Sus scrofa: one gene and its partner. The protein of the gene in region 2 interacts with the protein of the main gene of each other region in a biochemical or structural test. Links are inferred from orthologs where the notes say so. Each region holds a gene or a part of one and is shown on either strand. Other genes may lie near its edges. The genes, in order: PEA15 and RPS6KA3.

Region 1 (11,491 bases), on a different chromosome or scaffold from region 2:
GTAAGTTGTCACATATCTTTTCGTAGTATTTCCTGGCAGTGGAGTTTTTCTGTCTAGTGCCTCCTCATGCTCCAGATGCTGGAACCTCTTCCACCTCTTTGCCTAAAAGAGCCCAAATGTAGACTTTGCAGTGAGCTGATATGTGTAATGAAAGAAGAACAAGGGAAAATGTGGTTTCTACTTTACTCAGACTTAGCTTTGGTGTTTTTTGAGAATTTGCTTATTTGTAAAATGGAAGACGAAGATCAGAAGACTGTAGGTCAGTTGTATTTTCCATGTCGACCTTGGCTTCCTATCAGCTGCTCTCTGCATGTGTGGGCAAGGCAGAGAAGGTTGGTCCAGAGAGAGCTAAAAGAGGCCGTTTGCCAAGGGTTGTTTTGTCCGACTGTAGGGCAGCTGCAAGATGGGACAGGGTGAGGTGAAGAATGGCTAAGACCACACCTTCTTCCTTCTGGGTGCTTTTCCTATCTATTCTTCATCTGACTAAAAGCCCCCAAATGCTTTAGCAGCTACATCTGGGACCAGCTCTTCCTGTGGGGATGAGAGCGGCCCTGCCCCGTCCTGCCCTGCCAGGAAGGCTGATGTTTCCAAGTCAGACAGTAGGGGGCATAGGTGCCTTTGGATAGAAGGAAGTTGCCCAAGCCAGAAAGCCTTCCACTCGGCTGCTGAAGTTCATTCCTCCTGCTTGGAGGGTGGCTTAGCTTGAAGTGATGGGTGCCCTAGGAAGCCGCCCTGCTGTACTGTGCTGTCCTATGGTCGAGGCTGTTGTGCTTTCATGGCAGAGAGCAGGGTGCTGGCCCCTGGGAGGTGCAGGGTTCTCAAGCAGATGTGTCTCCACTATCCCACCACTCCCCAGGATCAGCCTCTTCCCAGTCTGCGCCTCTTTCCAGTTCTAGTAAACAGTGCCAAGTGAATGTAATTGTTCTCTGAGTCTTCTCTAGGGGCTCAGCAGCAGCTGCTGCTTTTTTCATTTTTAAAAATTTATTTGCCACTTGGTGAAAGCCACTGAGGTGTTTTTTCCAGCCTTGGGCAAGTTGGAACTGTGGAATCTGGAGAGAATGAGGTCATACGGACCTCATTGGCCTTCTTCTGAAGCCAGCAGTATGCTTGGCCAGTCACCCGCCCACCCCTAGGGCTGGGTCTGGGGATGAGACTGCCCTACCTAAATGTAGGAAATGAGAGATAGGCCTGCTCTTATACTCCGTCTGTGCCCATTGTTTCTCTACCCTGAGGGCCCTTTGCCCTCGGGTCATGATGAATGGGCCTGCTTTCCCTGCACCTGATTTCATCAGGGTTTGTTGTTTGGTTCGAGGTGAGTAGTGTTTATTAAACGCTATTCCACATACTCCTGAGCCTGTGTTTTCCTTTCCTCCTGACCAGGTAAATTGTCTTGAGCCCCATCCTCACCTGCCTGTGCTGGCAACCAGTGGCCTAGACCATGATGTCAAGATCTGGGCACCCACAGCCGAAACTTCCACTGAGCTTACAGGGTTAAAGGATGTAAGTGGCTGGCTATATAGATTTCTTCTTTCTGCTTATTTGTACAGTTAGGAATTTTCATTGTCAGAGGAAGGAATAACCTGCTGTACAGTCCTTCAAAGGCACTTCTCTAACCCCTCCCCTTCCCCCACGTTCCTGTCATTGCCTCTCTAGGAACAGCCCCAGTGCTTCTAGATGATGGTAGGATGGGGACAGGAGACATTTTTTCCATGGATGAAAGTGGGGCATCCTTTTCTAATATGATCTAGTTATGCTACACTCTGTTAATAGTTCCTAAGGGAAGATTTTTTTTTTTTTTTGGTCTTTTTTTTTTAAGGCCACACCCCTGGCATATGGACCCAGGCTAGGGGTCTAATCAGAGCTACATTGACCGGCCTAGGCCACAGCCACAGCAACACCAGATCTGAGCCATGTCTGCGACCTACACCACAGCTCACGGCAACACCAGATCCGTAACCCACTGAGCGAAGCCAAGAATCAAACCCTCAACCTCATGGTTCCTAGTCGGATTCGTTTCTGCTGTGCTACAGTGGGAACTCCCTAAGGGAAGATTTTATTGGGCTAGAACACCAGCCTTTTCTGATCAGGTCCAGTGTTCCTATTCATTATCCACTCTCCCCCTTTCGATTTCAGGTGATTAAGAAGAACAAGCGGGAACGGGATGAAGATAGCTTACACCACACTGACTTATTTGATAGCCACATGCTCTGGTTCCTCATGCATCACCTGAGACAGAGACGCCATCACCGGGTAAGCTGAAGTGGGAAGTGAGCTCCCAAAGGCAGTTGACCCTCTCAAGAGGGTAATGTTCCACAGTGCACACTTCCTCACTGCTCTAGACGAAATCAGGTGAAATTGGTTGGATTTCCTATCCATTATCCCCCATCCCCATCAAAGCCTTGATGTAGTCTTAGAAGAGCCACTAGCAGAAATTGGTGTTGTCTTCTTTGTGTTTTCCATCACCATGCATGCACAATGCTGTCTTCATAAAAGCAATGGCATGAGGGTGGGGAAGGAGTTGAGGAGAAACTCCTTGAGCCAGAAGAGTCCTAACGCAGGGGTTAGCAAACTATGGCAGATTTGGCATGTGCTCGTTTTTTGTAAATGAAGTTTTATTGTAATATAGCCTCACCCATTCATTTATGTATTGTCTGTGGCTGCTTTCATGCCACAATAGTAGAGTTGAATGGCTGTGACAGAGATGTGGCCCATGAGTGTAAAATATGTACTGTCTGACTCTTTAAGAAAAATTCTGGGAGTTCCTGTTGTGGCTCAGTGGTTAACGAACCCGACTAGGAACCATGAGGTGGTAGGTTCGATCCCTGGCCTCATTCAGTGGGTCAGGGAGACGTGGCTCAGATCCCGCGTTGCTGTGGCTGTGGCATAAGTAGGCAGCTACACTCTGATAAGACCCCTAGCCTGGGAATTGCCATACGCCACAGGTGCAGCCCTAAAAAGACAAAAAAATAAAAAGAAAAATTCTGCTGACCCCTGGCTTAGAGTATCTGAATCTTAGCTAAGACCTGACAGGCTTGTCCTTGTTCCAGGGTAATTACTAATAAGCTTTTCCCATCCTACAGCGCTGGCGAGAACCTGGGGTTGGGGCCACAGACGCAGATTCGGATGAGTCTCCCAGCTCCTCAGACACATCGGACGAGGAGGAGGGCCCCGACCGGGTGCAGTGTATGCCATCCTGAGGCCTCGTACCCAGGAGGGGCAGGCCAGGGCTGCCAACCTGATCCTGCCTGGGCAGCCCTTTCCTGTCCCAGGCCCTTACATTCAGCAGAAACGCACTTTGGACATTTTTGCTTTAGATTTAAAAAAAAAAAAAAAAAAAAAAAAGGAGAAAAAAAAAAAAAAAGACATCCCAGGAGGACAAGCCAGAGGAGAGCGAACCTGCAGGGGTATCTAAGAGTGGGAGTTGAGCCCTGCAATGGGGTTCCATGGAGAGGTGCGCAGGACTCAGCAGAAATGGCCTCTCCCCAAAGCCTTCTTTTTTTTTTGGGAGGGGGGAGCCTATTTTGTTAACTGGTTTTGGGTAAGGAATGGGGTTTCCTTTTCTTTGATCTCCCTTGTTTCTTGGGTGGGGGGTGGGGGGTTAACTGGCTGTTCAGTACCAAGGGGCCAGACTGGGAGTGGTAGAAGGGCCACTCTCTCTTTGGTTTTAGGTTTTGACGTTATTTTCTTTATTTTTAAAAAGTCTATGACAGTTGCATTGTTTTTTCTTCCCCTTGAGCAGCCCTATCCCAGGATCCTGTTTCTCTGGGAGGTCCTTAGAGCCCCTAACCATCCCACACTTTTCACTTTGTTTTCCACCTCATTCATTCTCTGTACTTATTATCACAGTGTTTTGCACTTGATTATGTATCCTTCACTCTCTTCTCTTCATCCTGTCATTCCCTCACTAGGTCTGGTGAGGGAGGTTGGGGGGAGGTGGGAGGAGGGGTAGAAGTGGAAGAATAGGAAGGATGTTACCTCTTTTGTTACTTTAAAAAAAAAAAAAGTTTGTTTGGTGGCAGCAATCTCCCTGTCCCTATCACTGTTAGAGGCCTACTTTTATATCTATAAATATATTAAAAAGCAAGTTAAAATTGGATGTATCACATTAAAATTATTGTCAAAGTTTAAATACTATATATTCTCTATGACTGCAATAAAGGGACTTAGAGGAGAGTGAGTGAGAGTAATGATGCGGAGGTGTCACTTGGGGTCACCCTCCTCTCTGTGTATGGCCATTGGGAGATTGGGGCTCACCCTTTTAGGCTTTAGGAGGCTTGAGAATGGAAAGATCCTGAATCCTGCCTTTCCCTGCTTTCCTGCCGTGGTTTCAGGGTTGGGAAACCCCTTTTAGCTCTTTGCCCCAGGTCTCCTACCTCTCCTTAAGTCTTGTGGGGGTTCCCAGGATGGCTCTTTTAACCACAGACTGGCCCATCTTTAAAACTTGACTGAACTGTGGCTTCAGGAAGAGGTCTGCCACTGCAGGCCATCTCTCCTAGTACTGTGTGTAACAGAAAACACAGTCTTACCTTTAGCTGCTTGATTCTTTAAGCCATCCCACTCCACACCAGCTCCCTTCCTCATGGAAGAGCACAGGGAGAGACCTCCTGGGTTTGACTGTATACCTTATCCACCTCTTTTGGGATTGAAGGAATGATTAAGGTGGCTGGGGCTCAGACACCTGTCGTATCACTGGTCACTGAATATGAAAGTCCCAGTTGAATTCTTGCCCTTAAATGCTTTTGCTGCTATTTCTTTGCCCCCCACCAGGAATTCTGCATCCTGGGACGGTCAGATTCTACTAGAACAGGACAGGAAGGAAGGGAAGAGTGAAAGGATGGAATTCCCAGATACTCCTTCCTCCTGCCCCTTTTTCCTAGCAGCACTCAGACCAAATGTTAGCTGCTGCACTTCCTCCCTGAAGTGGGGAATGTGTGGTGACTGAGTGGTCTGTGTTCTTCTTGCTGGTGGGGTGATGGAGTGGGCTGAAAACCGTGCACTCTGGAATTTGTTGTGTATTTTCTCTCAGTAAAGCTTTTTTTTTTTTTTCTGACTGTTGCTGTGTGTGTGATATGTGGGCCATTCATTCCTGATTGGCTCGTTTTGCTCCTTCCAGTAGAGGCGGCCCTGGTCTTAGTACAGTTTTATGAAGTGCAGTCTGGGATATCCATGTTTCCAGTGGTTGGGCTCCAGTCGGGGACTGTAAGTGGAACAGGCCCCACAGTTCAGTGATACTTAGCAGATGGGGGAGGGGAGAGATATTAGATGATATTAGGTGGCCCCTGTTCCAGGCTGCAATTAGGATTTGGGGGTAAATACTGCTCTCCCTCCCTTCCCAGTCATCCAGAGGCTCCACAGTCCTGGTCATTCATAGAAATCCTAGAATCATTTAATACAGTACAATCAATCACCTTTATTCCAGGGTTAGAACAAGGCCGTGCACACTGCAGACGGAGGAGCACAGGATAGGGGCAATTTCACAGCAGTACAAGGGGTGGGTGGGCAGGTTAGTCTTTTTAGATTATTTTGCCTTACAGAAATTACTAGACTCCACTGAAAATGACCCTGTCTCCCTTCTCCCATCTCAACTTCTCTCTTTGAAGGAAACTCTTTATTCTCATTCTCTCTTTCTCTCTCTCTCTCTCTCTCTCTCTCTCAATCTCACTTAACATATGCTGCCTTGGAAGGACAATTCATGCTTACCTTCTCCTCCTTAGTTCTACAGGTATCCCTCTCTCTTCTTGAGGGAGAAGCCAGACAGGGCTGGGGAAACTTGGGAAGGTCCTTTAAGGCAAACCTGTGGAATACTCGAGGTGTATGTGTTAAGGCAGGTGTCCGCAGCAGTGGCCAGAAGGGACAGGCAGGCTGGGCTGGGTTAGGAGTAGAAGGGTGCTCTCCAACCAGTCTGGCTTCTTCCCTCTTCCAACAGTCAGCCCTCCCCTCCACCTAAAGCTTTGCTCCCACATCCTAAAAGCTCCTAGCTTAAACTTACTCTAAATAGTCTCTTGACATGCGAATTTTTTTTTTTTAAGTTTTCTTTTTCGTTTTGACTATGTAGCAATTTGTCTCTGCCACTCCCTTCACTGTGGCATTTCCCTCCCACCCCCGCCCTGGCCTAGACAATAAGTTAATGCTAGACACCACAAAAAAAGGGCAGACATGGCAGTGCGGGTTTAATATACATATATGTAGAATATATATGTACACACAGTTAGCACGGTCAGGGTGGGCAGGGGTATCTTGGGACAGGCAGGAGGCTGGGGTCACTGGACTCTGGTGACTTGGCTAGGAGGCGCTCGTAAGCCCAAGGTGCCAGGATATTGAGGGAGAGGGGTTACCAGGTCCCCTCCTGGACTGAACTGGGGATCAGTGCAACAGAAAACACCGTAGGTAACTTCATCCCCTTTCTGGCTTGGGGAGGGGTTCTTGACTGCAGAGAGAGGAAAGGTTGCCTGCAGTAACCACATTGGGACTCTAGGTGGAAGCAGGATTAGAGTTAAAACCTAAGGATCTCAATTCTCCGAACTCCCTAGGTCAGTATGTGCAACAGTCTGAGTAGGAATAAAGGAGTAGAAGAGGGGACTCTGCCCTCATCCCCACTCAGCCCCAGTGGGGCATGTTCCCAGCAGTCTCCAGAGCAGAGGCGGAGGCGGGATCTAATGCTGGGTGCTCCATGGGATAAATTCTGGGGCCAGAAAAGATCCAGTGATCCTCGCTCTTCAGTTCCCTGGCTCTTACGCGTCCTAGGCCCATGAGAGGGAGCAAAAAGGAACCTGCTCGTGCCCAGGCCCTCCAACCTGAGGAACAGCTGGAAACTAGACTCTTCAGCCAGTCCAGCACTGGGGTACGGACACGAACTCTGGCTTTTCTTTGACCCTTCCAGGCGGGGGTTGGGTAGTCTCTGCATCTTCCCTCCCACTGCTTTCTATTAGATTCACCCACCTCTCCCATGCCTCCCACCTTGCCTCCTCAATGTAGGAAAATAAAGGTCCTTTCTGCTCCCACACTTTAGAGATGTGGGGGAAGAGTGGAGGAAAGGGAAGGAGGAGAAATGTGCCCATTTCTATTTGCATAGAAATAGCCCCCAACTCCCCCTAGAGTGGGGAAACTGAGCCCCCCCCAACCCCCAGCCCCTGACCCCCATCCCCTCACAAGGAGGAGGAACTAGATGAGCTAGACATATAGACAGACAGCCAGAGCGTGCGCACACACACACACGCGCACAGTAAGGGGGTTAGGACCAGGTTAGTAAGTGGGTGGCGGGGGGTGCCCTTGCACCCTCCCCGGGAGGATGGGGGAAGAGAGTGGTCCGATGAAGGTCCAACCTTCCTCCTCTTCCTCCCCCTTGCTCAGGCCTTCTTCGGTGGAGGAGCCAATTTGATGATCTCTTCCTCAGAGGGCTGCCGGATAATGTCTGGGGGCAAAAAGAGATGAGCGCAGGGACAAAAGTCATGGGAGGCACCAGGCAGGCCAACTGAGCATCAGCCTCTGTTCTTCCGAAATTCAAGTGCTCCACAGACAACCATGGGAGGGGGCAGAGGTGCGTATGAAAGGCATGACCCCTTACCTTTGTACTTCTTGGCACTGGGGATACGGGTCAGCTTGGTGTCCAGCTCATCTTCCTCAGAGATCTTCAGAACACGGGTTCTGTAGTCAACCACCATGGTGAGGAGGTCAGGACGGCGGGAGATCTCAAAGATGTGCTCGATGTAAGAGAGGTTGTCTGGAGGGAGGCAGGAGACAAGGTCAGAGCCAAGCTGTAGAGGTCAGCTTTCCCTACACTCTCAGACCAGGCTTCTGAAACCCGGGCCGAGCTGCTCACATTGGTTACTGGAGGAGGCAACACTGGAGGAAGAGGGGCTACTAAGCCAGGAAAGGACAGCTAAGGTACCAAAAAGCAGAACTGTTCCCAGGAAGGGCAGATGGTTGATCAGTGAAGTTTCCAGAATGAGGAATTTAGATTAAACACCAGGTTCCACATTGAAGGGAGAGAAGAACAGAAGAATTAGCTGGCCTTCCAAATTCCAGACACCCAACTGTGTCCCTCTTCTGCCTTTCCTCAAAGTAACCATCAGAAAAGTCTTCCCAGCAGCACATGTGCTACTAGAAGGGTGGACTCTGTAGACCACACAGGAGAGATTCTGGGCCTAGTGAGAAGGGTAATTGTGAATGAGGAAGCACAGACATGACCAAAAGGATGGTTTCCACAGCCAGTTCTAGCAGACTGCAGCTGTCTCCCTGCCTGGCTCCTTCCCTCTCCTGCTGCAGCCTCCCTCTCTGCTACCCAAGCTACAGATGAGTATCTCTGCAGGGCCTCATGTCACTCACCTCACCTATCAAATACCCTATTGCTCAAAGCCCTACATGGCACAGACCTACCTTACCTTTCCCTTCACCTTTTTTTTTGGGGGGGGGGCTATACCTGCAGCATGGAGAAGTTCTTGGGTCAGGGATCAAACCTGCACCACAGCCATGACCCAAGTCACAACAATGATGACATTGGATCATAACTGCTAGGCCACTGGGGAACTCCCTCCAGTCACTTCTAAACATACCCTTTGCCCCAGCCAAGCTAAGCAGAACTCCTTGCTTTTCCACACACCACTCTCCCACTTGGGCGACCAGGTCCCCTTGCCTAGCATGTCCTCTGGATCCTGCCTTTGAAATCCCACTTGTCCTTCAGGGCCATCTTAAAATATTTGTTCCTCCCTAAAGCTCTTTCCAGAGCACTGGTCTCTAGAAACGGATAAGAAAATGTTAGCGCTTGTGGCTTTAAGTTTTATCACTTTTAACTTCTATTTTAATGTTCCATTATATATGTGATGATAGCACAGTAGGATCTGAGTAACATTTTTTTTCTGAATGATATTTTTAATGGCAAGGTGAAATATGAAGAATGTAAAAACCACTGCTCTAGGGCCCCTGTACTCTCTTAGAGCATCCCTCTTACCCTGCCTTGTCAGAGAGCACACTTTGTATAGGAGCTCTGAGCCCATTTCTATTTACTGAATGAAGGAGCCTGAAAGGCTGACGGTAGGAGGATGGCTGTGTCCCCCTCCCCTACCTTTGTCCAACTTGTTGTGGCTCTCCAGGAAGCTAAACCAGGCACTGCCAGTAGTGATCTCCTCACTCTTCTCACTGGGGATATCCTCCTTGCAAGCTGACTTGAGCTGTTCCAGATCTTCAAGGGTGATGTTGTTGGTCAGGTCCTGGAGGAGGGTCCCGTATTCAGCCATGACTGAGGTTGAGGGGAACAAAGGGAGAGGAGGCTGAGCTTGAGGTACAGGGTCTGGTTTGCTCACTGGCACTACACGCCCCTCCTCTAACCACACCAGGCATGTGCCTAGAACATGGATGTTGGGGCTACAGAAAAGGAAGCCCTAAGGGAGGCAGGAGTAGACAGGAAGCAACTTGGAAGCTAGGGGCCAAGCTGGAGCCTAGAGTGAAAAGTCACACCTCTTTCCCTCCACCATCTTTCTTCTTCCTTTTCCCCCCTCTAACAGTAACCCTGGCAACAGCTCCCCGACTGAGGAGGCGGTTACCATAGCAACCTGCTCCTGAGACTTTCTCACTCACCCGCTCTCTCCAAGTCCCCCCACCAGAATTGCCTCACCCACCTGCAACCCTTCCCACTGTCAAAAAAAAAAAAAACAAAAACCACACACATAGACTCCAAAACAATGATCAGGGAGAGGCTTGCCATGGCAGTGAGAGGCTAAAAAGGGGCTGGAGGAGGTTGATTGGACTTCATGTGTTCTAGCTTCTACTCTTTCCCAGAAGCACAGGGGGGTCCCCCTCACATCAACTCCCCACCACCCCACTAATGACTCATTTTGAATGGATGCCTAGTAGCCTGGGCTAATGGTCCCCTGGCCCCTCCATGCTCAGCCCTGTATTCAGTCATTAGGTCTCACGGGGTAGTGTGAGGAGGGGGGAGCAATGGGCTACCCCCACCTTTGCGGAGCCCATTTTCTCCCTTGATTGCTGCTGGGCCTCCACACAACCCTCTCTCCTAGCCTTTGTGCTATGCCTACAGCCCCCGCGCCTAAGAATACCAAGCGGCTGGCTCTGGCCCCCTGCCCAGTTCCCAGGCTGGCTGGGTGGCAGGGGGAAGGGGTTCAGATGCAGCTTTGGGAGAGTCTGGCAGGAAGGGGGCTGCCGCTCCTGCTTGCATCAACATCCGGCTGGCACTACCTTCCATGTGACCCTCCCAGAGGAGGCTGGGGGAGGCTCGATCTCATCTAGTCCTTCACCCCATTCCTCCTCATGAAGACCCTCAGATGAAAAGGTAAAAAACAGTCAAGGCCTTCCTTCTACTAGGCTAAGGAAATGTGGCTAAGACCAGAGGAGAGAAGGTCAGACCTTAGAATGAACTTTCTGGATGTGATGAAATGTGAAACTCCAGTGGTGAGTTTTAAAAGGGGAGCCTTTTCCCCCACAATGAGTATGTCTTTCTTTTATAATTAGAAAAGTATAAAGCATTTTAAGAAGTTAATTATGCCATAAACACTGGCTAGACCAAGGGGTGGGGCAAGGAGCTAGATGACCTCGTACTTGACTGAGACTGCCCACGAATCACCCCAACAACGGGGCCGGGAATATGAGAAGGGGACTAGTTGACACACCCCATCTTCCTTTATTTCCGGCTTACATGCAGGGAAACTGAGGCAGAGAGGCACAGCCACTACATAGTAAGAGGCATGGACTCAGAAGGCCTCATTCTCAGACCCCTGCTTGGACCAGAACAAACAAGCCTCCCTTGGTGGCAGGCACCGTGACACAGACACACAATGAGCCAGGCACCAGGGCCAGCATGACCCCCACAAGAAACAGGCACTTAAAGGCACGCTCACTTGCACACCCAGGTGCAACCAGACAGAAGGGCCCAGCGGTGGCCCTGCCAGGCTGGGCCAGGAACAATGCTCTCTGACTGTCAGCACCAGGAACCGTCTCTGCCTTGAAATCTAGGTCAGAGCAGCAGGCTCTGGAGTCCAGCCCCCACCTCCCTCTGCTGATAATCCGAGGACAGAAAAGAGGGGGATGTGGACAAGAGGAATGCTGGGAAGGGGGTTCGGAGATGGGGGTAATAATGGAGCGGAGCTGTGGGGAGAGCTGAAAAAAAGGGGCACCACCGGAAGGAGTTGAGGAGACCCTGGGACCAAACACTCGGCTGGAAAATGGGACAGGATTTAGGGTCATAGTACCCTGCATGCACATGGAAGAAGAGTTTGTAAATAGAGAGATTCTGTGGGAGGAGTGAGTGTGTGTGTGTGTGTGTGTGTGTGTATCTCCTGGGAGGAGTTAAGTTTTAGGACTGAATCAAAAACACAGACTTACAGGGGAGGTGGGCGGGAAGGGATTAGTGTGTATTAGACACCCACCCACAAAGGCTGCGGGCGGTGGGTAAGAGCTGTTTAAGAGAAACAGATACAACGAGGCCCTAAAAGAACAGGGGTGGGGGGGGTGGGGATGGGAACGTGTAAGAGCCAGGATC
Region 2 (12,048 bases):
TAGCTGGGTTCGCTACTGCTGAGCCACAAGACAAACTCCAACTGATGATTTCACAATAAGTTCTGCTAGATTTCTGGAGAGAAGATTTTTCCCAAAACACTATACCTGAGATGCACTTCAGTCTATTAATGTCAAAATGATCTTTTGTTTCAAGCTATCATTTGACATCTGCTTCTAACACATATCAAATGACTGAACCAAGTTTCCTATAACAAGCTTTGCAGGCCAAAGGATTAGAGACAAGTTCACAGAAATTTAGATGACCAGGTCAGATATGAAGATGAGATCATCATCATATGTAAGACTGTAAAAATAAACGAGGTGGATAAAACATAATTAGTTTTTAAGGTATGTAAGAAACCATACATACAGTATTAGTTAAGATGGGCAAATCTGATTTGTCATGCTACCACTATAATTCTACTTATACTAATAAAAGAATGGTACAAAGTATACAAGTGCTTTTGGATTTACGCATAAATGTACGATTATCTAAAATTCAGGAAACTAGCATTATTTCATGGAAAACAAAAACACAAAAATACTCTCCAAAAGACAATGTGGTGAGCTGACTCCAGGTGGGGCAGTAGGCTAGCTTTCAGTCTTGCAGCTATCTGATCTCTAGTTCATTCACATTACTTTCTAGCTGATACCTTCAAGAGGAGAGGGTAAATATTCAGAGTAGGTAATGCACATAATTGAACCACCCATTATGGTATGCTGAAGCATAAAATCACTGTTTGTTAGTAGGTAATATGCCCATTAAATACCCCTGAATCCAGAGCTATGTGTATATGATGGGCAGAGATTAAAAAAAAAAAGGGGGTGAGCAGGTCATTTTACATGATTTGGTAAGCTGTAAGTGTAAATTTTTTAAAAGATGAAGTAACAATGTTTCCAAATTAACAACAGCTGCATCAAAAATCATTAACCCCAGCTGTTTTCTAGTATCTACAAGTTTGAAGCAATTAATTAAAAAATAAGAATGGAAGAGGTAGACAGATTGACAACAGCACTAAGTAGCAAATAAAAGAGTTCCCCAAAACGACAGATATTAAACATAAGTTACAGAGCAAGTCAAGTTATAGTCGGGGCAATTAGATTGATATTAAGGTAGAATATGACCATTAATTTTCAGAAGATTGAATAAAAGTTTAAATTATTTTAAAATATTTAAATTATTGCATTTAAAATTTCAGTCACTATCAAAATGGAAAATTGTTTCACAAATTGAGAAAGACTTCAATTCAAAATGAAATAAAAACTCCTGACAGTTAAAGAAAAGGAAGCTTTGATACAGTCAATTAAACATAATAACTCATTTCCAGGCAATACTGGATCAGGTTACTGCAGTTATCAGATTTTCTAAAACTGTGCTCTGCACAGCACTTGTGTCCTTTGAGACTTCAATAGATGGTTCATGAAAAAGGGGTGCTGATATAGAGCCTCAAATGCTGTGAGCAATTTCTTTTTTGCAGATTCATCACATACATCATCATCTTAAAAGTTCTAAGTTATGCAATAGAGACATTGGTCAAATTTCATTTAAATTCACAACCCTCAAATTTATTTGATTTTATCATGCTCCTTCGCTTTTTTTTTTTTTCTAGAGGTGGGAGATGGATGTTGGAGCAGAGACACACTTTGAACATTTTCAGACTTCTCAACTGAAAACACCATACATACTATTGAAAGTTCCTTAAGTACCAATACCACATAACAGAATAAAATCCAAAGGATTGTATTTCTAGACAGGAAAACCCAGTTATTCAGGGCATATCTGAATAACCAACCAAAACAAATGTGTTTATAGTAACAAGGAGGGAGGTGTGCCATATTAATTTCTGTCCCTAAAAAATGAAATTAACAAAATTGATCCTAAAATATAAAAAGGTGTGATTTTCTTTTGGTACTTTTTAGAAAGTAAGTTAAAATTCCACCTATTGATGCTATATATTGATTTTATCCATTCAGAGACACACTTTCTTCAAGTGTTGACATATAGGGTAATACACCATATTTCATCCATTATAAGACACCACCATGTGTAAGATACACTATTCTCTTTTAAATCTCTAAGAAAAAAAAAAACCCACTACTAATTAAACAATGACATGCATGGATCCTGAGAAGGCTTCCAATTTGAGCAATGCTGAAATATGAACATACTTTGCTTTCTTCCTTCTTCCACTCATAGTGTTCAAAAATGTTTCCCCCCTTTAAAGACATCAAAGAGGAGAACAGTACAAAAAAAGAACAAGATTCAAGAGATTTCTGTTCACCTTACCATTACAGTTATATTCAAATATTATAAAGGCTCTGTCTGAACAGATCAAACAAACCATTTTTAATCATTCTGTTTGATTCCAAAAAAATTACTCCAGAAGAAAAACACAGAACTTCCTAAGACAGTTCTGTTTGAGAGATGATTCATTATAACTATTACTTATTAAACACTTGATATATGCTTAACATATATTATCATTTACTTCTCACCACAGCCCCATGAGGTAGATATTATTTTCATTCCTATTTTATGGATTAGGACATTGAAGCATAAACACATTAAATAACTTGCATAACAAGATATTAAGCGGCAGAGCCAGGGTTCAAACCCAGGTCTTCATGGCTTCAAAGCTTATGTTCATCAACACTTTATCATATATCCAAATTATCTCATAAAGTGGACTAGGTAAAATTGTAATAATTAATTGCTAGTAACTAAGGTATCTGTTTAAAGCAGCTCAGTGTATGAAACGAGCTTTTTTATATGGATATATTTTACCTTGTTTTACACAACATATATAGCATGTTTGTTTCATCAACTTGACACATTTTACTTAATTAAAATTTACAGTTATTTTGTCTTTGCTTCTGTGCTATTTGGTATTACTGAAATACAGAAGTATCTGAGATTTGCTGTTACAAATTAATGACACAGGAAATTTTATCAACTCTGAAAGAAGGAGCGGGCATCTAATGTCAAGTGTTAAAATGCAATTGCTTATTTTTTCCTTCTATTATGTGAACTCTGGAATGGGATGTGTAAAATATACATTTGCTCAATTCCATTCTGAAGCGTCAAAACTTTTATCCATCAAAACACATATACAACTGAGCACTATCACACTCATGCATTACCAAGAGATCAAGATGTCACTGTTGTACACTGTAATCTGAACCACTGGGTCTAAAGCATCCAGTCTGCACTGGACAAACTGGGCCACTTGATGTCACCCAACATTCCCAGCCTGGCAGGTCACATGTCCTTGAGCACGGAACTCTAGAGCAAATCTTGTGAATGATCACAACGGGATAAAATTTTTAGTGGATAAATTTTTAAAAAATCTTTAGAGCAACTTTTCTGAAACTCAGACATCTGATAAATGATCTGCTATATTTTTGATCATTCTATAATTTACTCAATGTCATGTCCTTGGTCAAGAGTGTACAACTCAATTATGCCACTCTTCTTACATAAAAATAGATACTCATTGTGATCTCCAGAAACATACTAATGAAAAGGCAAAGTCTGCTTATACTTGTTCCTTTAATTGGCTAAGTTTCTCTCTATATTTAAAATGTGAATGCAGCAAAGAAGTTTCACATTTTGGATCAACCCCATTAGTATAGGATCAAGCTGCCAAAATGAAGCAAACCCTCTTAAATTTTAGTTTAACAAGAACTGATATCCAATATTATAATCACTGAAAACAACAAAGTGTTTAATAATGTTTCACAGTTACTTGACAGTTGACATGTAACAATACCTGTCCTCTCCTCAGATCTTCACTTTGGGGAAAGAAAAAAACCTGAAAGGTGGTAAAAATGAAACAGGAAAAGGAAAAGAAACTTAATAAAACATTTTTTTTCAAAACCAAAGATCACACTTTAATAGAATGTTTCTCCCTACAAATGAAATATAAGAGATACTGGTATAGTGGAAATACTACAAAATCCAATATAATCTTTGACGTTAAAAATGGTTGCACACCCACTGAAAATGGTTTCCAAAACAAGGGTCTCATTTTTTTTTTTTTTGGACATGCCCATGGCATGTGGAAGTTCCTGGGCCAGGGATCAAACCTGCATTGCAGTTGCTACCTGTGCCACAGCTTTGGTAACACTGGATCCTTAACCGGTTGCACACAAGGGAACTTCCAAGGGTCTCATTCTTTATAAATACTTATATAGTTAATATTTTTCAATGTCTTATGGGTAACTTGTTATTTAAAAGAATGAAAGTATCTTTTTTTTTTTTGGCTGTGCCCCATGGCATTCAGAAGTTCCACGGCCAAGGATCTAGCCTATGCCACAGCAGTGACCTGAACCACTGCAGTGACAATGCTGGATCCTTAACCCAGTGAGCCACTAGGGAACTCCGAGGTAGCTATTTTTACATAACACATTTCTATAAAGCAAAAATAAACCTCTTTAATTTTATTATTTTTGAAAATTGTTCATATTTAGAGTTACTATAATTTATCTTTACTGAAACTGAGAAAAAAGTGTCACTTTAGTTCAGGCTTATGATCCAGTAAACGTCCCTGACAGCAGTGGCAAGGAGTTTGTAGAAGAGAACAGCCACAATTCTTTGATATCAACCTCCTAAACAGTCAAATATTCAAAAACATACTAGCATCTTTAAACAACTAATTAAAGAGTTCTGAATTCACCTGGACTATTTACAAAGCTATTTTGTTTTTAATCCTGCACCAACCTTGGTTCTGCTTACATAGCACTTGCTTTATTATCCTAAATTTGCTTCTTTAAATACTTGGCATAGTTCTAGCCTATCATGTTCTGACCCATGTTTGAGTTCAACCACAAGGGTTTTTTTGTTTTGAACACCATGAGACCCATGTGAGGTCAAGAAGACATGTAAAGGAATGAAGAAACGGATGGTACTTTTGGTGAAGTACTCAGGTCTTTAAAGATTGTTCATATTTCAATGGAAGATTAAAATGCTAAGAACAGGTGTTCCCATTGTGGCTCAATGGTAACGAACCCAACTAGTATCCACGAGGACACAGGCTCAATCCCTGGCCTTGCTTGGTGGGTTAAGAATCCGGCGTTGCTGTGAGCTGTGGTATAGGAAAAAAAAAAGATCTAGGTCAAGAACCAACTATAAAAAAATTATAAAATGCTAAGAACAGAGATAAGATAGATAATTACCCTATTCCTGACCTTCATAATTAATTCAGCGGTAATGGGGGGGTGTCTATGCTATGTATGTGCCATGCACTGTATTAAGTGTTGAGGATATAAAGGGAAAAAAAAAGTCTCTGCTTTGAACAATTCAACCTACCAGGAAGAGACCAAAAAGGTAAATTTCTATAGAGATCAACCCTGAAATCTTATACTCTGAAGAGAAATATTCTGGTGTTTTTACTCAAATGACTATTTTAAAAATTATTTTATTCTAGTAAAATACAATTATTTCTGAGAACTTACTGGGGAAGAGATGGCATAAAAGTAAGCATAATATTAAGTTCAATATTACTTTTGAATGAAAATCAACCTTTTCCTTACCGACCTCAATATTTTGCAACATGAATCACAAGTAATTTACTTGAAACAGCTGAAAAACCAAAGGCAATAAAATATCTAATGGCAATATGTTAAAATCTAGTTTTAATAAAGCTAGGCAACACTGGCTCTGATTGATTGACATACCTTATACCAGAATCTCAAGACAATTACTTTAAAATGGCAAATTGTGGAAACCTATCTGCCATGTTCTGGAAACCATGACAGTAACTGAAATAACTATGCTTTAACAAATGAGACATCTCATAATACCATAACTGTTTCTGAAAAATACATGACCTCTAACTACTGGCTTATTTATTTATACTCTGCTTTTTCCATAAAAGATATGAAGCAGTTACTCGAATATAAAGCAAAGCACATGAATTATATTCACTTAGCTTTGAATCATGGCTCTGCCATTTACTATTTATAATCTTTGTGCCCTTAACTTCTGAGATCAGTTTCTTAATCTGTAACAATTGGGACCATAATCATACTCTGTTGGATCACTGGAAGGATAAAATGAAATAGCATGTACTACACTATCTGGCATGTAGTAGGTGCTAAATAAACATCAGCTCTGTGCCTTCCTAATCCAAATGTGTACTATATAGAAAAAGGATCAGGTGGAATTTTAACTGATTTTTAAACACACTGATGTGTGCCAAGCAGAAATGTGGACTGATTATGAGTTGCAAATGTTAAAGTTTGCATCTAAAATTCAGGCTCAAAGCAAATTCAATTTCTTTCCACAAGGTCGGCACTTAGAGACATTTTATTAACATTTAAGCTATATTATTTAATGCAAAATGTTTTCTGAAGAAAAAAACGAATGAAATGAGCCTCAGACACCCTATTTTTCATGCTATCCATTCAAAAGCTGATTAAACATTCTAAATTTGATTTTCTTATTAAAAATTTTACAGTATCGGTCTGGCTAACAATTTTAAATGAAATTCTCGTAATTCTGCCAGACTTTAAAGCATAATTTCCTTTACGAAATTTTTGGCTTAACATTTATCAATGTCTTTTCTACTGAAGAGCAGTGTTTCATTTAGGTTTTAAAAATGTGATCCAAGTCTCAAAATACTAAGCACCAACCATAAGCCACTATTACAACTCTGCCTGCGGTATGGAGAGCAAGTAAACATTTTACACAGCAGCGGAGGTGACTAGGAAAAAAGTGAAAAGTGATTTGAACTGATCCCTGTCCCCCTCCCCCTCCTTTATACCCGAGAACGCAAGCGTCCCGCATCTCAGATCAAACTGAGCCTGGGTCTTACTGACGTAACCAGTAACCCTATCCACCTCTCACACTGCGGAGGCCGGCAGGGCAGCGGCTGCCGCCAAGTACACCACTCATCAGAGCCTGCCCCATTCCACCCCCGCGCTTCAGTCATGCTTTCCAGAAATGGGGTCACTCACTCAGTAACTATTACACACACGCAGCCTACCATCCTGTAATCCCCCAAAGTCCGCTGTGGGGATATAAGACAGCAAAAAGTCAAGAAGGAAGAATCACAGACGCGCCACCATCAGGAATTGATTTTCCACTCCGGAGAGGAGCGCTGATGCCCTGGAATGGGTCTTGCCCGGATTATTTTCACAGACCCGAGTTGGTTCTGGGACAGGGGTGGCTGCGAAGAGCCGGGGAAATGCTGGTGTGCCCTGTTTAGGTACACAGTTTGGGTTTGGGTCACTTGGGTGGGTGTCTCGGGGACGGTCATCAGATTCCGGGCGAGGAAAACCAGAAAGCCCTTTACCGCGGCTGCCGATCTCCTTGAAAATCACCCTCTCACCTCTACGGACAGGAAACTCATGTTAAACTCGCAGGGACGGGGTCCTCGAGCTCAGCGACCTCAGAAACGGGGCGGTGTGTGTGTGTGTGTGTGTGTGTGTGTGTGTGTGTGTCTGTGTTCAGGACCCCAGGCTTCCACTTTCTCCTTTGCAGCAGCAGAAACCGCTGCTGCAGTTGCGGGGGGGGGGGGAGGCAAAAAGTCTTGGTTGTCCTGCACCCCTTCCCCGAAACCCCCAAAGGTCGCCACCCCTGTCCCGGGGCGTGCCTGCCCCCGCGTGCACGGCTCCCCAGGACAACCCCCGCCCCCCGCCGGACTCCAGAGTCCCCGCTCCCCAGCGAACCCAATCCACACCCCTCCCGCATTTCCCAAAGTCACCAGGGTCCAGGGAAGCCCCCGACCAGGCAGGGCCGAACTTCGTAACTCCTCGCCAGCCCCCGCTCCGCCTCCCGCTTCCCCCACGCAAAGTTGATGAAAATCGGCTGCTCGCAAAGCCCCGGCGCCCACTCCCAACCCCACGCGCCACCACACCACAGCCCCCAGAGCGAGGGAGGGGAGAGGAGGGTGCGGGTGGAGGAACAGAAGGGCAAAGACACCAACCCCAACTACCCAAACCGGAACCCCGGACCGAGGGGAGACGCGAAGGGGCCGAGTGGCCGGCTCCGGGTAGGGAGCGAACAGGCAGGGGCGCGGGGAGGGGGGCGCGCCGGCCCCGGCCGCCCGACTGCACTCACCTCAGCGCTGTCGGACGGGCTCTCCACAGCCATCTTCTGCCACGGGTCCGCCAGCTGCGCCAGCGGCATCTTCCCCCCCGGCCCGCCGCCTTCACCGCCTCCTCCCTCCCCGCCCGCCCCGCGGCCGGCCCCGCTCCGTCGCCGCCCGAGCCCCACGGCAGTAGCGCCGGCGGCAGCTGCAGCAGCAGCGGCGGCGGCTGCTGGGTAGAGGGCTCGGCGCAGACACCGACCCTCGAACGCCGCGCGCCCGGCTGGAGACGCCCGCGCGCCGAGCGAGAGCCTCGCGCCGCTGCCGGGCACCGGGTCTCGCCCCTTTCTTCCTCTCCTCCTTCCGCCGCCGGGACTACAGCTCCGCCCCCCCCCCCCGCCGGTTCCCGCGCCCGCTCCCAGCAGAACAGCAGCCCCCGCGCGCTCCCCCACTTCCGCTCACAACATGGCGCCTAAGCGATACCTGTCTCTCAGAGCGAGGCTCGGGCGCCGCCGCCACCGCCGCGCGCACCCGGGGGCGGGGCCTGGGAAGACACGCCCCCGGCCGCGGCACTCCACTTCTCCCTCCTTCCTCGCCCCAGCTTCAGCTTTTGGGCCTCGCCTACTTTCGGAAAGGCTGAGCCGTAGAGATCTGGGGGCGTCGGCGGGAGGTGGGGGGAAAAGAGGCGAAAGGGAGGAGGTGCGAAAGGCTCGGAGTTTCTAAGCGCCCTGCGTCCTAGCAGATCGAAGGCTCCTCGGGGATGTAGAGAACAGTGGTCCCCGCCCAACTAGGGAGGAGATGGGCGAGGCGCAAGGACTCGGGGAGGGGGCACGGGGTTGTCTTTTCGTCCTGATTATTCCGTGGGTGCATGTGGGCGCGCCAAGGCTATGGACGTATGCCGTAAAGACCCAGAACCCGCCCTCTCCAGGGTCATTCGATGGGCATTCACCTGCCCCTTCACCATCCCGCCCCCCCTCCCCCAGGACTGGGAGACTGAAGGCATCGTGCCCTGGTAGTCGCCTGAGGGTTCGGCTCTCCCTTTGATTCAAGGCTCTCCAAGTTGACGCTCTTGTGTTATATTTTTAATATTTGGAGTTAGTTGGTCTTGCATGAGTCGACACCTCCCCCTCCAAGGCCGCAGAACCCTCGGGCTTCAGGCTCTACCCTCGAAGCGCACCCCCACCCCCGTTCCCCGTTGCTTAAATCTTCATGAAGGAGAAAACAAGGAGGTTCTTTAAGGCTGCCCCTCTCGGCAGAGGTCGGGGAATTATTTTAAAATATCTTGTTGGCAGGAGCCCGGGGTTCCTGCTCTTCTGTTGACTTTAAATAAAAGATTAGATTAAAAATCAGGTTGGCGGTGGGTGGAGGAGGGGAGAGAGGGAGGGGTTCTAACTCCTCCTGCCCGAGATAGGGAAGCCCCAGGTTAAGGAAACCCAAGCCCCAGACGGCGACGGAGCGCAGGAGGACAGGGAGAGCTCAAGGGAAGAGGCCTGGGCGACTGGAGTGGCTCGGGCGGGAGGGGAGGTTCGACCCCTTGTTTCCCGCGCCAGGTGCCGTGGCGAGCTCAGTGCGCCAGGGGAGAAATGTACAAAAGTCGCCGGGCTGAGTGGAAAGCTACTGCAGCCATTGGCTAACCGCCTTACAAGGAGACGGAAAAAAAGTAAAGGGAAACCTCCAGGCCGGCCAATGCCTCCATCCCCTCAGGCCTCGGCCCAGGCGTCCCGAGCCTCCCACGCCCCGCGACCACAGCGCGTCCCCCGCTGCGCTCCCGGTGCACGCCTTTTAACAGCTTTCTTTCATCCTCCCAGGACCCACACACCTGGAGAGCCCTCGCCTTCCTCCCTAACGCAGGTGTGAGGACGAGATTAGAGCTCCACACCTAGCCGGCCAGTCTGCGCGGGCGGAGCAAGGTTTCCCGCTGGCCAGAGAGAGCCAGGTGTTAGGCTCTTTCTCCTGCCTTTGCGGGCACGCCCCTGGGCACAGGCTCGGGAGGCCCGGGAGCCTCGTGGCCACCTGAAGAGGCTTCATCTGTTCAGGCGGCCCGAGGAGGCGGCCGGAAATACTCGCTGCGCGCCCTCTCCCGCAGCCTTGGACTCAGGGGGACAGCTCAGGGTTGAGCAACATCTGGGCAGGCTCAGCGTGGTCTGTGGGGTGGGGGTGGGGAGGACTGAGCTCGTGATTCTGTCACCTCCCCCAACATGCTGATTCAAGTGCTGCAAATCCAATCTGGACCCAAAACTCAGCTAATTTGGCAGCCACCGTCTTTGTAATTCTTGACGGTGAAACCAGCTTGCCAAAGTTGGAAAAGATAGGGAGTTGTGTATTGTTTTGCATTTATGTACAAAGTGCCTCATTTATCTTACATTTATATTGCAAAGCCACATTACCATTCCTTACAGCGAAAAGAAGTTGGTCAATTTCGTTAGTTTAAGGTAAGTTACCCCCCCAACAATGCTCAATTATTCCAATTAACATTCTTTCTTTAGTAAAACATACATAGTTGAAAAGAGAGTTATTATGTGTCTAACACCGCCCAGCGTTAATTACTCCACTCAAAGAGTGAACTAACCTTTTTTAAGTAAATCAAATTGTATATTGAAAAGCTGATTTCAGTATCAACTTTTATTCATTTCTTTTTATCTTGAAAACTAGAGAAATAACTTAAAACAGTGAGTTGATCTGTAAAAGTAATGTGAACAGTGGTCATATTGCAGGAATTAAGCATTAAAGTAACTTAATAATGGGCCAAACTACCAGTAGCACAGCTGTCTTGCAGATAAAATCAACTTGATAAGTATTTGTGAATTGATTTGGGGAAAACACTATTCTCCTTCCTTTTGGCCGAAAAGAAAAGAAAGTGATTTTTTTTTTCCTTTTGGTTAACAATATTTTTAAAATTTATTTCATTCATTTATTAAATCCAAGAGCAGTGCAGCCACTCTTTCTGGCTGAGAGAATTTGGGGAAATCTGGGGGATTTTTCTTAGGTGACAACCAAAAGATTTATTTGAATGTAGAAGGTGATTTTACCCTGGGCAGGATTACTTTTTTTTTTTTTCCTGTTTAAGAAATGAAAATTCTTAGTTCTTTAAAGAATAGCTGCCTCTAGAGATCACCTGTGCAAGCTAATATGTTAGCCCCTAGCCACACAGTGATTCTTGATCAGTGAAAGTTGGCTGGTCGCTATTGAGACACGCTGTAAGTGTAATATTCACACCAGATTTTAAAGACTTAGTACCCCCAAAAAATGTAAAGTATCTTATTAGTAATTTTTGTAATGACTACAAATTGAAATGATATTTTCAATGTATTGAGTTAAATAAAATACGTTGCTAAAATTAATTTCCTGTTTCTTTTTATTTTAATGTGGTTACTATAAAATGTACACTTACATACATGGCTTACTTGTCCAGAAATTTCTATAAGACAGTGCTGCTTTAGAACTTTCCTTTAACACTGAGCCTTTTATGTAATCCTACAAGTCCTATAATGTTAAGTGATATTCTCACATTCCACTGTCTTTTGAGGCTCCTGGGTGAAAAATCAGCAGAAAGGGCTGATTCAGTTACCTACTGATTCAATACCCTCCCCCCTCCATACACACATATATCTCTTAGTCAGAACCAAAATATTGGAAAGTTATTACTTGAAACTACAGCAAAAGAAAACAGCAAACCTCAGTCGAAAATCTGGACTAGATTTCCAAGAAATCATTCCTGATGTATGACAGGACAACCAGATTTAACCTCCTCTGTCCCCAACAATTTCCTGCTATAATTATAACCTTTGTATACAAGTTTAAATGGGCATTTACTTAACAAAATAACATTTGTTCAAAAAATGGAGTTACATCAGTCTGGAAAAGTTACAAGATGACTAAACTATGGCTCATGGCACAATCTCTACCTCCTATACATCCAAAACTCACAGCTCTGTTACATATTGGTTTGTCCCTATGGAAAACCCATAACGTGTAATCATCATTATCTCTCTGAAAAAAAAAAAGTTTTTTCCCTTTA

What was found.
Region 1: the proteins of RPS6KA3 (region 2) and PEA15 form a complex in vitro, tested with the Homo sapiens proteins (2 studies listed by BioGRID). The link is inferred for Sus scrofa from reciprocal best matches to the Homo sapiens genes RPS6KA3 and PEA15.

Annotation. Positions count from the first base shown.
Region 1 is NC_010446.5:90,258,210-90,269,700, forward strand, and holds the end of PEA15 (astrocytic phosphoprotein PEA-15), read right to left. Parts: intron 9,236-11,491; 5' UTR 9,234-9,235; coding exon 9,062-9,233; intron 7,721-9,061; coding exon 7,565-7,720; intron 7,412-7,564; coding exon 7,347-7,411; 3' UTR 5,391-7,346; downstream 1-5,390. Other genes in the region: DCAF8 (DDB1- and CUL4-associated factor 8), read left to right, coding at 1,381-1,500, 2,134-2,250, 3,081-3,197. UniProt on the Homo sapiens protein: Blocks Ras-mediated inhibition of integrin activation and modulates the ERK MAP kinase cascade. Inhibits RPS6KA3 activities by retaining it in the cytoplasm. Inhibits both TNFRSF6- and TNFRSF1A-mediated CASP8 activity and apoptosis.
Region 2 is NC_010461.5:16,566,796-16,578,843, forward strand, and holds the start of RPS6KA3 (ribosomal protein S6 kinase alpha-3), read right to left. Parts: upstream 8,418-12,048; 5' UTR 8,132-8,417; coding exon 8,063-8,131; intron 1-8,062. UniProt on the Homo sapiens protein: Serine/threonine-protein kinase that acts downstream of ERK (MAPK1/ERK2 and MAPK3/ERK1) signaling and mediates mitogenic and stress-induced activation of the transcription factors CREB1, ETV1/ER81 and NR4A1/NUR77, regulates translation through RPS6 and EIF4B phosphorylation, and mediates cellular proliferation, survival, and differentiation by modulating mTOR signaling and repressing pro-apoptotic function of BAD and DAPK1.